Linked DNA regions of Drosophila melanogaster. The protein of the gene in region 2 binds, or shares a complex with, the protein of the main gene of each other region. Each region holds a gene or a part of one and is shown on either strand. Other genes may lie near its edges.

Region 1 (6,298 bases), on a different chromosome or scaffold from region 2:
TATGTTAATTCAGTTCAGCTCACACGGCTGAGAAAAAAGTGCTGTGTCCTTAATCAATACATGCCTTCATATGTATGCATACACACACACACTCACATACACTAACACACACTTACAGACACACACGCACATATCCTTCTAACTGGGTGGGACTTTGAAGGCCATAGTTTTTCACCGAACCATAGCCTCAGCACTTTAATTTTATTCCTTTTGCAATGGTTTCCTTTCGTTGGGAAGCACTCCGTCTTTGCCTAAATGTATCTACATATCGGTGAAATCCTCCACGGCACGCAAACGGTTGGGTTGGAAAAAATGTTTTACACGGATTTCGCACGAAAGATACATTTTCCGCTGTATTGTCTTTGGTTGCGAGAAGCTATGTGATTTGCTGCCTTCGGGCTTGTTTGCTTTTTCATCGGGCTCCGGAGGAATTCATTGTTTTAAACAGGCTAGTGTAGATTTTTACTGTGGCAATTCACGACGAATCGAATGATGACGAGAAGTTCCCGAACTTTTTAGTACACAAAATGCCAAAACAGGCGACTTAGCACCAAAATATCTACTTATACAACACCACTTTCGAACACAGCCAACCGAAGTAAACAAACACATGCAAACTCGGGCCCCATATGAGGCGCATGCGCCCCAAAATCCCAGCTTAAAGTTCGCCCAGCAACAAGACTATCGATAAGAGCCAGTTTCAACCGTTAACAAAATCAATATATACATATATATATATATCTCTTTGATAAGGAATCAACATATATATTCAGTTCCGTAAACATTCTCTTTTATTGTATCAACTGGCATTACTTTTTTAAAGCATTTTTAACACTTCCTTAAGTTATGGCTCAACACATTTTGCATACATTTGATTTAGTTATTTGTGATACTTCTGAAGTTGCGGGGCCGATAGCTTGACCTTTCCTGGTATATTCCTGGCCAACGACTCTTCCTTTATACTTTTCAGTAAGTCCTTCTCACGAGCACTGCAGCTCTTCTCCTTTGCGAAGATATTAAGTGCTAGTTTCGCCGCCTTTCCTCTTTTTCCCGTACCTGGGGTGAGCTTTACTTTAAACCTAAAAAGGATATCACATTTACAATAAACATTTTATGCGAACTTTCAGTATAGCCTACTTGTAGTTTTGCAAAGCCTGATAGGGAGCAACGACTGGAATCGCGAACAGCAGCTCATCTCCTTCGTGCGGCTGTCCAGTCAGACTGTTGAGTACATCCACATCCCCACCGACGGGCACTTCATCAGCATCGTCCAGTTCCACTGGGTTTTTGGGAGCTGCACTTTTTTCTGGCTTCACGTACTCCTTGGTTGACTCACTTTTCTCCACCACTTTATCGGCACTGGCCTGTGGCTTTTCCTTACCCGATGACTTGAGAATCATCATGCGAATTTCCCGCTCTTCATCATCTTGATCCTTGTATTTTTGCTTCATTTTCTTGAGCTTTCCCTTCTGACCTCTCTTAACTTGAGATGGATTTTTTGGTTCACTACTCACAGGAGGGACTTCCTGCTTGGCAGCTTCTTGTTTCGCCCGTGCCTTGTCTTCCTTGGTCTTTTTGGCACTTACTTGCTTTTTACGACTTGGACCAGCCAAAATAATGGTCGTTTCTTCATCGTCCGTCTTTTTCAAAATTTTGTCTAGGACAACTTCACTCTCTTTAGTCTCTTCAATCTCTGGATTTACGGAGTCGGATCTGACTATAATGCGACCAGTATCGTGCTCAATCTTAACTTCTGTATTGGGAAAAGCTGTAATTTCGGTATTGGAGCTTGGTTCCGATAGATTTATATTTGAATCAGCGTCTTCATTATCCGACAAAAGATCATGTTCAACTTCGTTTTCTTTAACATTTGGATCTATTTGATCATCCTCCAGGCTTCTAACTTTACGCTCTCCCAAATGGCGCTCAATGAAGCTATCCTCCAACTTGAAAAGTAAACTTAGACCCATGGTCAGGTGGCAGGAGGGAAGGAAGTTCTTCTTTCCTCTGATCATAAAGCTTCCCGTTGCCAAGTACTCTCCAGTCGGTGCAGTTTTGCTGACCTGATCGCTTGTTACCCAGTACGAGTTGGTAACCACTTTGGCATCCCAAGCAACACTGTACGAAATAGCCATGGATCCTGCCTCTAGCAACGTTTTGGGAGGTATTTCTTCTCCTGTGGGATTTTGAATAATAACACTCGAGGCGCCTTGAATCTCAGCGTGCACATAAATGTCTTTCGGACGCATATATCTGGAATAACAACATGTCATAATTATAAATACTTCGATCTATTTAAGTAATTGAAAGCAAACCTTTTAACAATAAGCTCGTTCTGCTGGGCATCTCTTCCTCCAATAACCAAATAATTTTCAGAGCTGATAAACCAGTAAAACTTTTCAAACCAGAAAACTTTCCGTGCCTTTACTATGTTCGATATAGTCCTCACTTCCTTGAGCGTCTGCTGCGTCTTGCGCTCCGCAGACTTAAGAGCTTTTTGGGAAGCATCTACAGTTTTCTTTTCTTTTTGAGCAGCCGAACGTTTCATATCGTAGTATCGACGGGCATTGGCCCAAGCAGACAGAGCCAAGTCGACATCCACAACAGTAACCTCTGGATCCTTAAGATCGTCGTCTTCATCGTTGTCATATGGATCGCTGAGCATAAGGGATATATGATTAGTCTCCAGTTTAAGCTGCTTTATGGAACTAGCTACAGCATCGCCATTTGCCTGTGCCTCCTTTACAAGCTCGTGAATATCCGGCCAGGATAATTGACTGGCAATAGCTGACTGAACAGCCCGAATTGCATTATCCACCAGACTTTGATTGGACGTTATTAGCTCTGCTTTCTTTCTGTCCACATCTTGGACTTTTGTCAATTCCTCTAGACGCTTTGCGTGGTCATTCTTGACATTAGACAGCTTTTTTAGTGCCTCACGCTCTTGCTGTAGCGTTTTCATGTCAATCTTTTGCGACTCTTGCGTAGAGTAAAATTCATCAACGGCTTCCATAAAGGACTCAAATGTGGCCTTTTCAAAGTTTTTGAATTGAATAAAGAGGTAGGGATGAAATTCGATGTTTCTAAAGAAAAACTCCACCGTTCCATTCTCTGTAGGCTTTTCCTCTTTAACTTGAATAATGTAGCCTTTACTTTTTCCACTATTTCCCTCAGCTATAAGCTCTTGAGCATCCTAAAAGATTGCACAGAACGTTTTATTTACTTTAACAGCAATAATAAATATTTCCACGATATTGTTCTTACCTTTACTGCTTGCTGAAGAATTGGCAAGTCATTAACCATGTCAAATGGTTTCTGTTCCAGTTTCGTATTCTGTTGCTTCTTACGTTGCTTTTTACCGCCCTTCTCCGGCTTGTCCTCCGCCTCCGGCGTTTCTTCCGTTGTTTCCTTTTTGATAACGTGATTGTCCAAGCCGTGTGAGAGGAGAACATGCTCTATAACTGCCGGACCACAGTCCAAGTTGGGTGTTAGAATCTGTCGCAAATAGTCGCCGTTCCTGGCATTTTCCAACAGCTTAACCAAAGCTTCCAGTTCCAGTTCCTTCGTGGGCTGTTTGGCCCGTTCCACGGGATATTTCTCGCGCATGGCGAAGCGCAGGTTCTCGCCCTCCGTATGCGGACGCAAAATATATAACGTGGTCAGCTCGTAGTCGGTGAGGATCACATTACCACGATCGTAGAGCTCCAAAATAACATGGTAGGCGGCATCACCGGTACCGAACTGAAAGTCAACAATACGATCGCTACCCATCTGTTGAACCTTTTCCAGGCGCTTGTTCTTCAAGTGCTTCCTCAACTTCATGCTGAAACCGGACGGAGCCATGTTCTTGGGCCATTCGAACCTAGTGGTATGGAATCTTGTACCAGATTCTATTAGCAGAGTGACCTTCTCCACTGCACCGGTCCCTTGCATCCGGAAGAGGTAGGTCTTGTTATCCACGTCATAGATCTGATTCACTCGCCAGCCGACCAGCCTGGAATATAAATGTAGATGTACCATTATTCCTGGGCATCGGAATTATCCGGATTTTTTACATACTTTTGCAGTTCCGCCACTCCGCAGATTATATCGAAGGTATTGAAACGTGTCTTCATGGTTCTTTATGGAAAGTTGACGATGTCAACACGGAAAGTGAAGAAAAAAGAATCTATCTGGCAACTTAACTTATCATTAAATATTCACAAGTTCGCTATCTACGTTAGATAAGTTAAATTAGTTTAATAGGGAATAATAACAATTTTATTCACTTGCGAAATTAAGTATCGGTGTAAATTGCGATGGACGAACTTTAAACAAAATATATCGATTGTATGCTGTTGATGATTCGGATTGTCAGAATGAATTCGCTGTATAATTACTATGTATTAAATATTTGTATTGTTTATGCAATGAGTAAGAAGCTTCTTTGATTTATCTAAAAAGTTATTAAGCATTTAATAAAGTTTCAGTCAGCTGTTTCCCTTTCCGTGGACTATTCCACTTCGTTCCGATAAGAAATCGATACATAGGTAGTCGGAAAATGGAACTGCTGTGTCATCGCCAATCTTCATTTGTAAATATGAATGCGGATGGACCTGTTGTCAACGTGCACGTGTTGTTCTTTGCTAAATCCCGTGAATTAGCAAACACTCCCCGGTCGACAGTGGAAGTTCCTACTGAAATTACTGCCACCGAACTGCTGGACCACCTGGTGTCCAAATTTGGCCTGACCTCCATCCGGGATAACTTGATTTTGGCCCACAACGAGTCGTACATTGACAACCTGAGTGATAGAATTCTGTTTAAGGAAGGAGACGAACTCGCCATCATACCGCCACTGAGTGGAGGCTAACCTTTCCGCCATGGATCACGTGAAATTGGTAAACGACCCCATAGATATCGCTCATATCCATCAGTTGCTGGCCGATGAAGGCTGTGGAGCCTCATCCGTTTTCGTGGGCACTACGCGCGATAATTTTCAAGGGAAAAAGGTGGCTTCATTATCTCAATCAATTGATTTCATTGATTCATTTGTACTTTTCGACCTTTCAGGTGCTGTCATTGGCGTACGAGGCCTACGATAGCATGGCACTCAAGGAAATGAATAAAATATGCTCAGATCTCCGATCTAAGTGGCTCGATCTGAAGCACATAGTCATATATCATCGATTGGGAACAGTGCCCGTATGCGAAGCCAGTGTAGTTATAGCCGCCTCGTCACCACATCGTTCTGAGGCCTTAGAATCAGTATCTTTTGCAATAGACCAGCTAAAAACTCGGGTTCCCATCTGGAAAAAGGAAATCTACGACGGCGATAACGACAGCGAATGGAAGGAGAACAAGGAGTCCATCAGGCCTAGTAAGATCTTATGAGTAGCCAGCATGACATGTATTCTTATTATTTGTACACTTGTAAATATAATTAACAATCGAGCGTTTACGATTTTATTGGCTTCTCTCTCATCTGTGCATGTACATTGTAGAGAAATCGAAAAGTGGCTTCAACTACGCCGCTTGTCCCTGCAAAGTTGAGGAGTCACATGACGTCCCGCGAACTCTGGTGCAAATTAGAGTTAATGACGCTGAGTTAACCAAGCGTTTAGAATGTTTTGTCAACAGAAAACGAGACGAAATAAACTCACAAAATGTAATTGACTTCAAATCGTCTTTTGTCAGCTCAGACCAAAACTTGAGCGATTCCTGCGCTCGAACGCAGAGCACAATTATTAAGCAGGAGCAGTCAAATTGCCATTTAAAAGGTGGGTAAACGATGCTCTATTTTCATAACTATAGCCACTTTGGTCTACAAACAACCTATCACAGTCCGACGAGTAAACAACCGATGCGGACCTCAGCAAATGGAAATGCGACCCAACTACGAACTCGAACTGAATAAACTAATGGGATCGCGTGACGGTCAAACGGATCCAACCAAAGAAATGAGGAAATCGCTACCCAATTCACGACTACAGGCAATTGAATCGTACATGGGTCTAACCACCGACAACGAGGAAAACATTTTCAGTAGAATCAAACGAGTGGAAAATAGACTGCTGCAACTGGAGTCCATTTCGCCCGAGTACAGACACTTCGTAGGTTCTTAAAACATTTCCTGTAATTGCAGTTCTAAAAAAATTCAATCTATTCTCAGACCAAACGTGAACCGTCATCTATGGAAGCCGCGCCGCCGAAGAAGAGCCGAAAGAAATCGTATTCGGCGCAAGAATTAAGTGCATTCATTCAAAAGATTAAGGATGGCAGCGAATTAAGCTAATAAAAACCTAATTAATTATTATTC
Region 2 (4,974 bases):
TTTCCTCTTCCCCAGCTCCACTTCTCTCCAGCTGCCGGACTAAAGCCTGCACAGCTGTATTATTCGGCCCCTTGTCAAAGAAGTTCGTCATTAGAGTGACACTCACGTCCTCCAGCCCATTCTCGCAAATGGTCGCCTCTCCATGAACATGCTGTTTGATAATTTCGTCGATCTCTTGATCCACTACCTCGGGAGGATCGTAAGCCAACTCCCGGCCATCAGCTTTTTGGTAGTCCAAGTTGGGCATCTGCTTATTTAACTGGGATTTCACAGCTCTATAATTTAAGGGTTTCGTACTACCATCAAACTTAATAAGCGACTCCAGATACTCCTCCTCGTTTATGTGATCCAATTCAATAGGCGAGAGGTGAGTATCACTAAACTGAGAGCCCAACATGTCCACCAGCACCTCCCGGTTCATTCGGTAACGGACCGCCGCTATATTATGCCCCATGGCCAAAAGGATGTGCTCATTCCCGGCCCAAAGGCGAGAGAAGTCCAGGTACACTTTAAAGTACTGCTTCGCGTTCACCACCTTAAACTGAGTGTTATAAACCAACAGAGAGGCGCCTTCCTGCCCATAGTTGGCGCCGTAGATGGCAGCAAAGTTTCGTGAGACTCCGTGCACGGATAGCTTGCTCTCCACATTCAGCTCGGCCAGCATAGATACGAATTGTCCAGGGGATCGCTCTGATGTGGCCTCCGCCAGGTTAAGCATGAAGATGCGTTTATCAGACCCTGTAAAATTAAATAAATTTATAGTTTTCGTTCTTACATCAAAACTCATTCCTCACACTGATATAACTAAAGTTACTTACAAATGGTCAGCAACTGAGGATCTGCATCGCCCTCGACGACAGCATATCCCGTGAGGCGAACCTCTTCCCGCTTAATGAGGTACTTCCGCCGGTCAGCCGTGTCCAGGGAGAGGCGGATAAGCTGCATTTCGCCGGTGGCCTTTGTTTCCTCGAAATATGTGAGCACCTGCTGGCCCTGGGCCAATGCGTGGACTGTGGGCTTGCTGATGACCTTGCTGGCGGCTAGGGCCAGTTGCTCAGCCGTATCCTCCTTCTGGTCCTTTCTCGAAGCCAATGCCTGGGAAAGGGTTTGGCACTCGCCATCGCTGTAGAGGATTAATGCCTCCTGTTCGGTTGCCACCACGTGAGCGATGCTTTTCTGAAACTGTAAGGAAAGCGTATTATCCACAATTATATGCTGAATTTTAGCTGCCCATACCTTCAGCTTCTTGCACTTGGACACATCACTGGTGTCCACATCCCAAAGACGCAGCGCGTGATTTCCAAAGACGCCCACATACTTCTGGCTGCTGGGATCGTATATAACCTTGGAGGAAAGCTTCTCCGGCAGGGACCAACTGAGCAACTGCTTTTGTGTGCTGATCTATAAGGAAATCGCGTTTGTTACATGGGCATTTTGATATTTTGGTGTCCAAACGCACGTTCAAAACAACCACCACGTTGCGCGCCAACGTAGTCACCACATTGCCATTTTCCCTGTCTGCAGCTAGGCCCAGAAACTCCTTGGGGTCGGGGATGGGAAACAGGTTGTAGTAGGACAGGAATTTGGACATTATTTAATTGAATTGAAAACAATTGCAGCACGTGCAAAGCGGCATCCAAAACTAAACCACAGGGCGATTCGTGCCATTGAAATCAGTGTTTTGGTATTTAAAATACCGACAGTAAGGCTGCCAGACCTCTGCGAAATACGAACACAAATGGTTGCCGGACCTGCCACGTGCTATCGATAAGAGGAAGAGACAGAAGAAGAAGAGAGAAATGGGTGGAAAGACAAAACAAGCGCCGCGCACCAAAAATAATGCCAAGGTAAGGCGTAGTAAGGTATTAATATGTTATTTAACCGTGCCCTCGACCCCCCATCATCCAGCCCTCGAGCAGCAGCCGAACAGCCGAGCTGCTGGGCAGTTCCACGCCCATATTCGTGGGATTCTCGGCGCAGACGGACGGCGGTGGCCTGGTGCCATTTGCTCCGGGATTCGCCAGCGCCGAACAAATGCCGGACAGCTTTGATGCGGCCATCAGTCCGCAAACGCAGATCATCCTTCGAAAGCTGTCCAAAAAGGATCCAATGACGAAGAAGAAGGCGCTGCAGGAGCTACACGAACTGATCGAGCAGTCTGACGTGGAGGTCCTCAAGAACATTCTGCCTCTGTGGCCCAAGTACTACCTCAATCTGGCTAGCGATCCGGAGCACACTGTTCGCGAACAGACACAGACTGTGCTGCAGTTGCTCATGGCCAAGTGTAAAAAGGCGATGGCTCCATATCTAAAGTTACTTGTGCCCGTTTGGCTGGGCAGCCGATTTGATACCTACGCTCCGGCGGCCAGTATTGCGAGCCAATCCTTTCGAGACACCTTTGCTGGCAACGCCAACCGATCTCGGGAAGTCTGCATGCACTGTCAGGTGGAGATTCTCGAGTACGCCACACGTAACCTGACCTTCCACACAGCCGCTACTCTGTCGATTGGGAAAAGTCTCACTCCGGAGGATGCGGAACAGAAGTACCAGCGCGTTATCATCAGTAGTCTCAAGCTGTTGTCCTTTTTCATGGGGCAAACTGCGCAGACGGAGGAGCTCAGCCAGGTCAAGGAGGGCTTCGGCACCCTGGTGGCACACCAGAAGTTCTGGAGCTTCGCCAAGCATAAAGTGCCTGCCATTAAGTAAGTAAACAGACAAGTCATTTACCATGTATTTAATTTCTGTTTCACATTTTATAGAGCCGCCTGGTTCGAGTGCATATATCACATCCTGCAATCGGTTGCACTTTTGGATGTGATCACGCCTCAGAAGACGCAGCTGACTAACCTCTGCTTTCAGTTTATTGACGATGCAGATCCCGTGGTGGCTCCCCACATTTGGGGGTGCGTTCTGCTCCTACAAAGTAACTACGTAGATTGGTAAGACCTAGGATCTACTATAAGTGAATTCCAATAATAAAGTTTAATATTTGTAGGTTCGTTCCACTGAACATTCGCAAGACACTTCTCCCCAAACTTTCGTCTTTGCTCCAAAATGGTTTCAATCGCAACGCCCAGGCCATCTGTCCCAATCTGCTGCCATTTTTGTCGAAAGTTACACAAGCATCCCTTCAAGACCTGGATATCTACGATTTCTATCAGCGCTTCTTTGACGACATGAAGCTGGCAGTCACTAAGAAATTCGATCCTCCGCTTTCCAAATCCGATTGTATTGTGATACATAATGCATATTTTGAGTGCCTACGCTTCTTGATGCAGCAGATTAACAACAACAAACAGCGAGAGCAGAAGGAGGAGGAATTTTCCTTTAGCCTACTCGATAACAACGTACTTGAACCCATTGCCTGGCTGCTCAAAAGCGATAGCACGCATGTAAAAATTTTCTTCCAGCACAGTTCAGCCCTGGTGGCCTTCTGGGATCGTCAGATTAATAATAGATTGGATAATGGTGACCTTTATGCCAAATTGCTGAACAAGTTCTGGATACGCATCTTTGAGCTGGTCACACAAGACCTATCGGCCGAGGAGGTGAATGAGCAACTGCTCGGACATGTCTTGCTTTTAGTGCAGGATCTGCATATGGCTAATCCTAGCCTGGAGTCGCCGAGTGTGAAGTTTGTCGAGGGGCCAAACGAAAAGATCGAGAAGAGCGAACCCACAACACCAGTTAAAAAGGCTCAAGAAGCTGCTGCTTTTATACAAAAGGAATTGAAGCAGTTGGTTATAAAGTTAGTGCGCATATGCCTGGATAAGGCCAACAAAGGCAGTGGGAGTGGTACTTCGAGCTCGCGTTACATCGAACAAATTCGAACGCTTACAAAAATGTTTAACGATGCCGCGTTCTACAAAAGTTTAACTGATGATGGAGACCTTGCGTCGGCGTTAAATAAATTTGTGTCACTGCTAGGTCAACTAAGTTGTCAGGCCTGTGAATCTGTGGTGGAGATCGTGTTTGAAATCCTGCCGCTGCTAGAGACTGGAAAACGCTTTGAATATATTGAAAACACTCTCATGAAGGTAGTTACCAATTTTAAAGTGTATAAAAAAAATATTAAATTATTATTATTCTTTACAGCTTCCACAACATGGCGTGCAAAATCTTTTGCTGCATCGTCTACTATCATATCCCCTATGCGCCGAGGCCGCCGTGAGGCAAATGCTAAGTGGTCCGGAAACTTGTGAAATGATTGCGCGGATAGCTGAGGAGGTTGTTGTAGACAATGATCGGGAGAAGCTGAACTTGCTTCACAAGTGTTTTTTCCAAACTGACACGGGAGACATACTCATTAATGCTAAAACTGTGGATAAAATACTGCTGTCCATGTGCGGACCCTTGGAGCAACCGGTTGTCGATGACGCGGTGGAAGTGTGTGGCAGTTTTATTGCCCAGATAATGCCTGTGATTTGCAGCAACAATAACTCTTCGCTGCACGTGCGCCAACACATCTTCCTCAAACTGTTCAAATTTAGTTTGGAGCACCGACCAGAGGATTATCTGTCGGAGGATACTCTGTGGGAAATTACCACTTGCTGGCAGGATGGACTTTCTAGCAAAGATATCGAAATCGATGATGACATGCTAAAGTGTTGCGCAGGGATTGTTGAGGAATTGGCAAATTCAGCAGAACTTAAAGCGGATACTTTGGATGGAATGGCAGAGGCGATGGCCAAGTTTGTTATTTGCTCAACGGAAAATATTGAAGATGAGTATAAGCGCTTGGAGCGAATCGATGAAACATTAACTGCTCTTCTGGAAACGCCCCTAAAAACGACTGACAAGGTTCAACAGTTTGAGAACCATTGTGTACTCCTAGAAGCCTTGCACGGATCTGTGACTGCGGGAGTTCCGTTCGAAAATGCTTGCCTCTCAAGAAATGAAATACTACCATTGCTTCAACGTTCCACACTCAACTTTTCTACAATCTACAAGCTCGTCTATCAATTCCCACCACCT

What was found.
Region 1: Ltn1 (region 2) and Clbn share a complex: the UniProt entries of both Drosophila melanogaster proteins name them as parts of the ribosome quality control complex.

Annotation. Positions count from the first base shown.
Region 1 is NT_033777.3:25,125,628-25,131,925, reverse strand, and holds Clbn (caliban), read right to left. Parts: upstream 4,425-6,298; 5' UTR 4,309-4,424; intron 4,297-4,308; exon of another isoform or gene 4,169-4,296; 5' UTR 4,116-4,168; coding exon 4,060-4,115; intron 3,995-4,059; coding exon 3,265-3,994; intron 3,194-3,264; coding exon 2,316-3,193; intron 2,254-2,315; coding exon 1,138-2,253; intron 1,080-1,137; coding exon 881-1,079; 3' UTR 771-880; downstream 1-770. Other genes in the region: Mocs2A (molybdenum cofactor synthesis 2A), read left to right, coding at 4,580-4,852; Mocs2B (molybdenum cofactor synthesis 2B), read left to right, coding at 4,863-4,991, 5,053-5,359, 5,484-5,759, 5,824-6,092, 6,152-6,274. UniProt on the Drosophila melanogaster protein: Key component of the ribosome quality control complex (RQC), a ribosome-associated complex that mediates the extraction of incompletely synthesized nascent chains from stalled ribosomes as well as their ubiquitin-mediated proteasomal degradation.
Region 2 is NT_037436.4:19,549,093-19,554,066, reverse strand, and holds the start of Ltn1 (listerin E3 ubiquitin protein ligase 1), read left to right. Parts: upstream 1-1,776; 5' UTR 1,777-1,799; coding exon 1,800-1,847; intron 1,848-1,908; coding exon 1,909-2,702; intron 2,703-2,759; coding exon 2,760-2,939; intron 2,940-2,995; coding exon 2,996-4,037; intron 4,038-4,095; coding exon 4,096-4,974. Other genes in the region: CG9300 (uncharacterized protein), read right to left, coding at 1-738, 819-1,182, 1,237-1,401, 1,460-1,591. UniProt on the Drosophila melanogaster protein: E3 ubiquitin-protein ligase component of the ribosome quality control complex (RQC), a ribosome-associated complex that mediates ubiquitination and extraction of incompletely synthesized nascent chains for proteasomal degradation.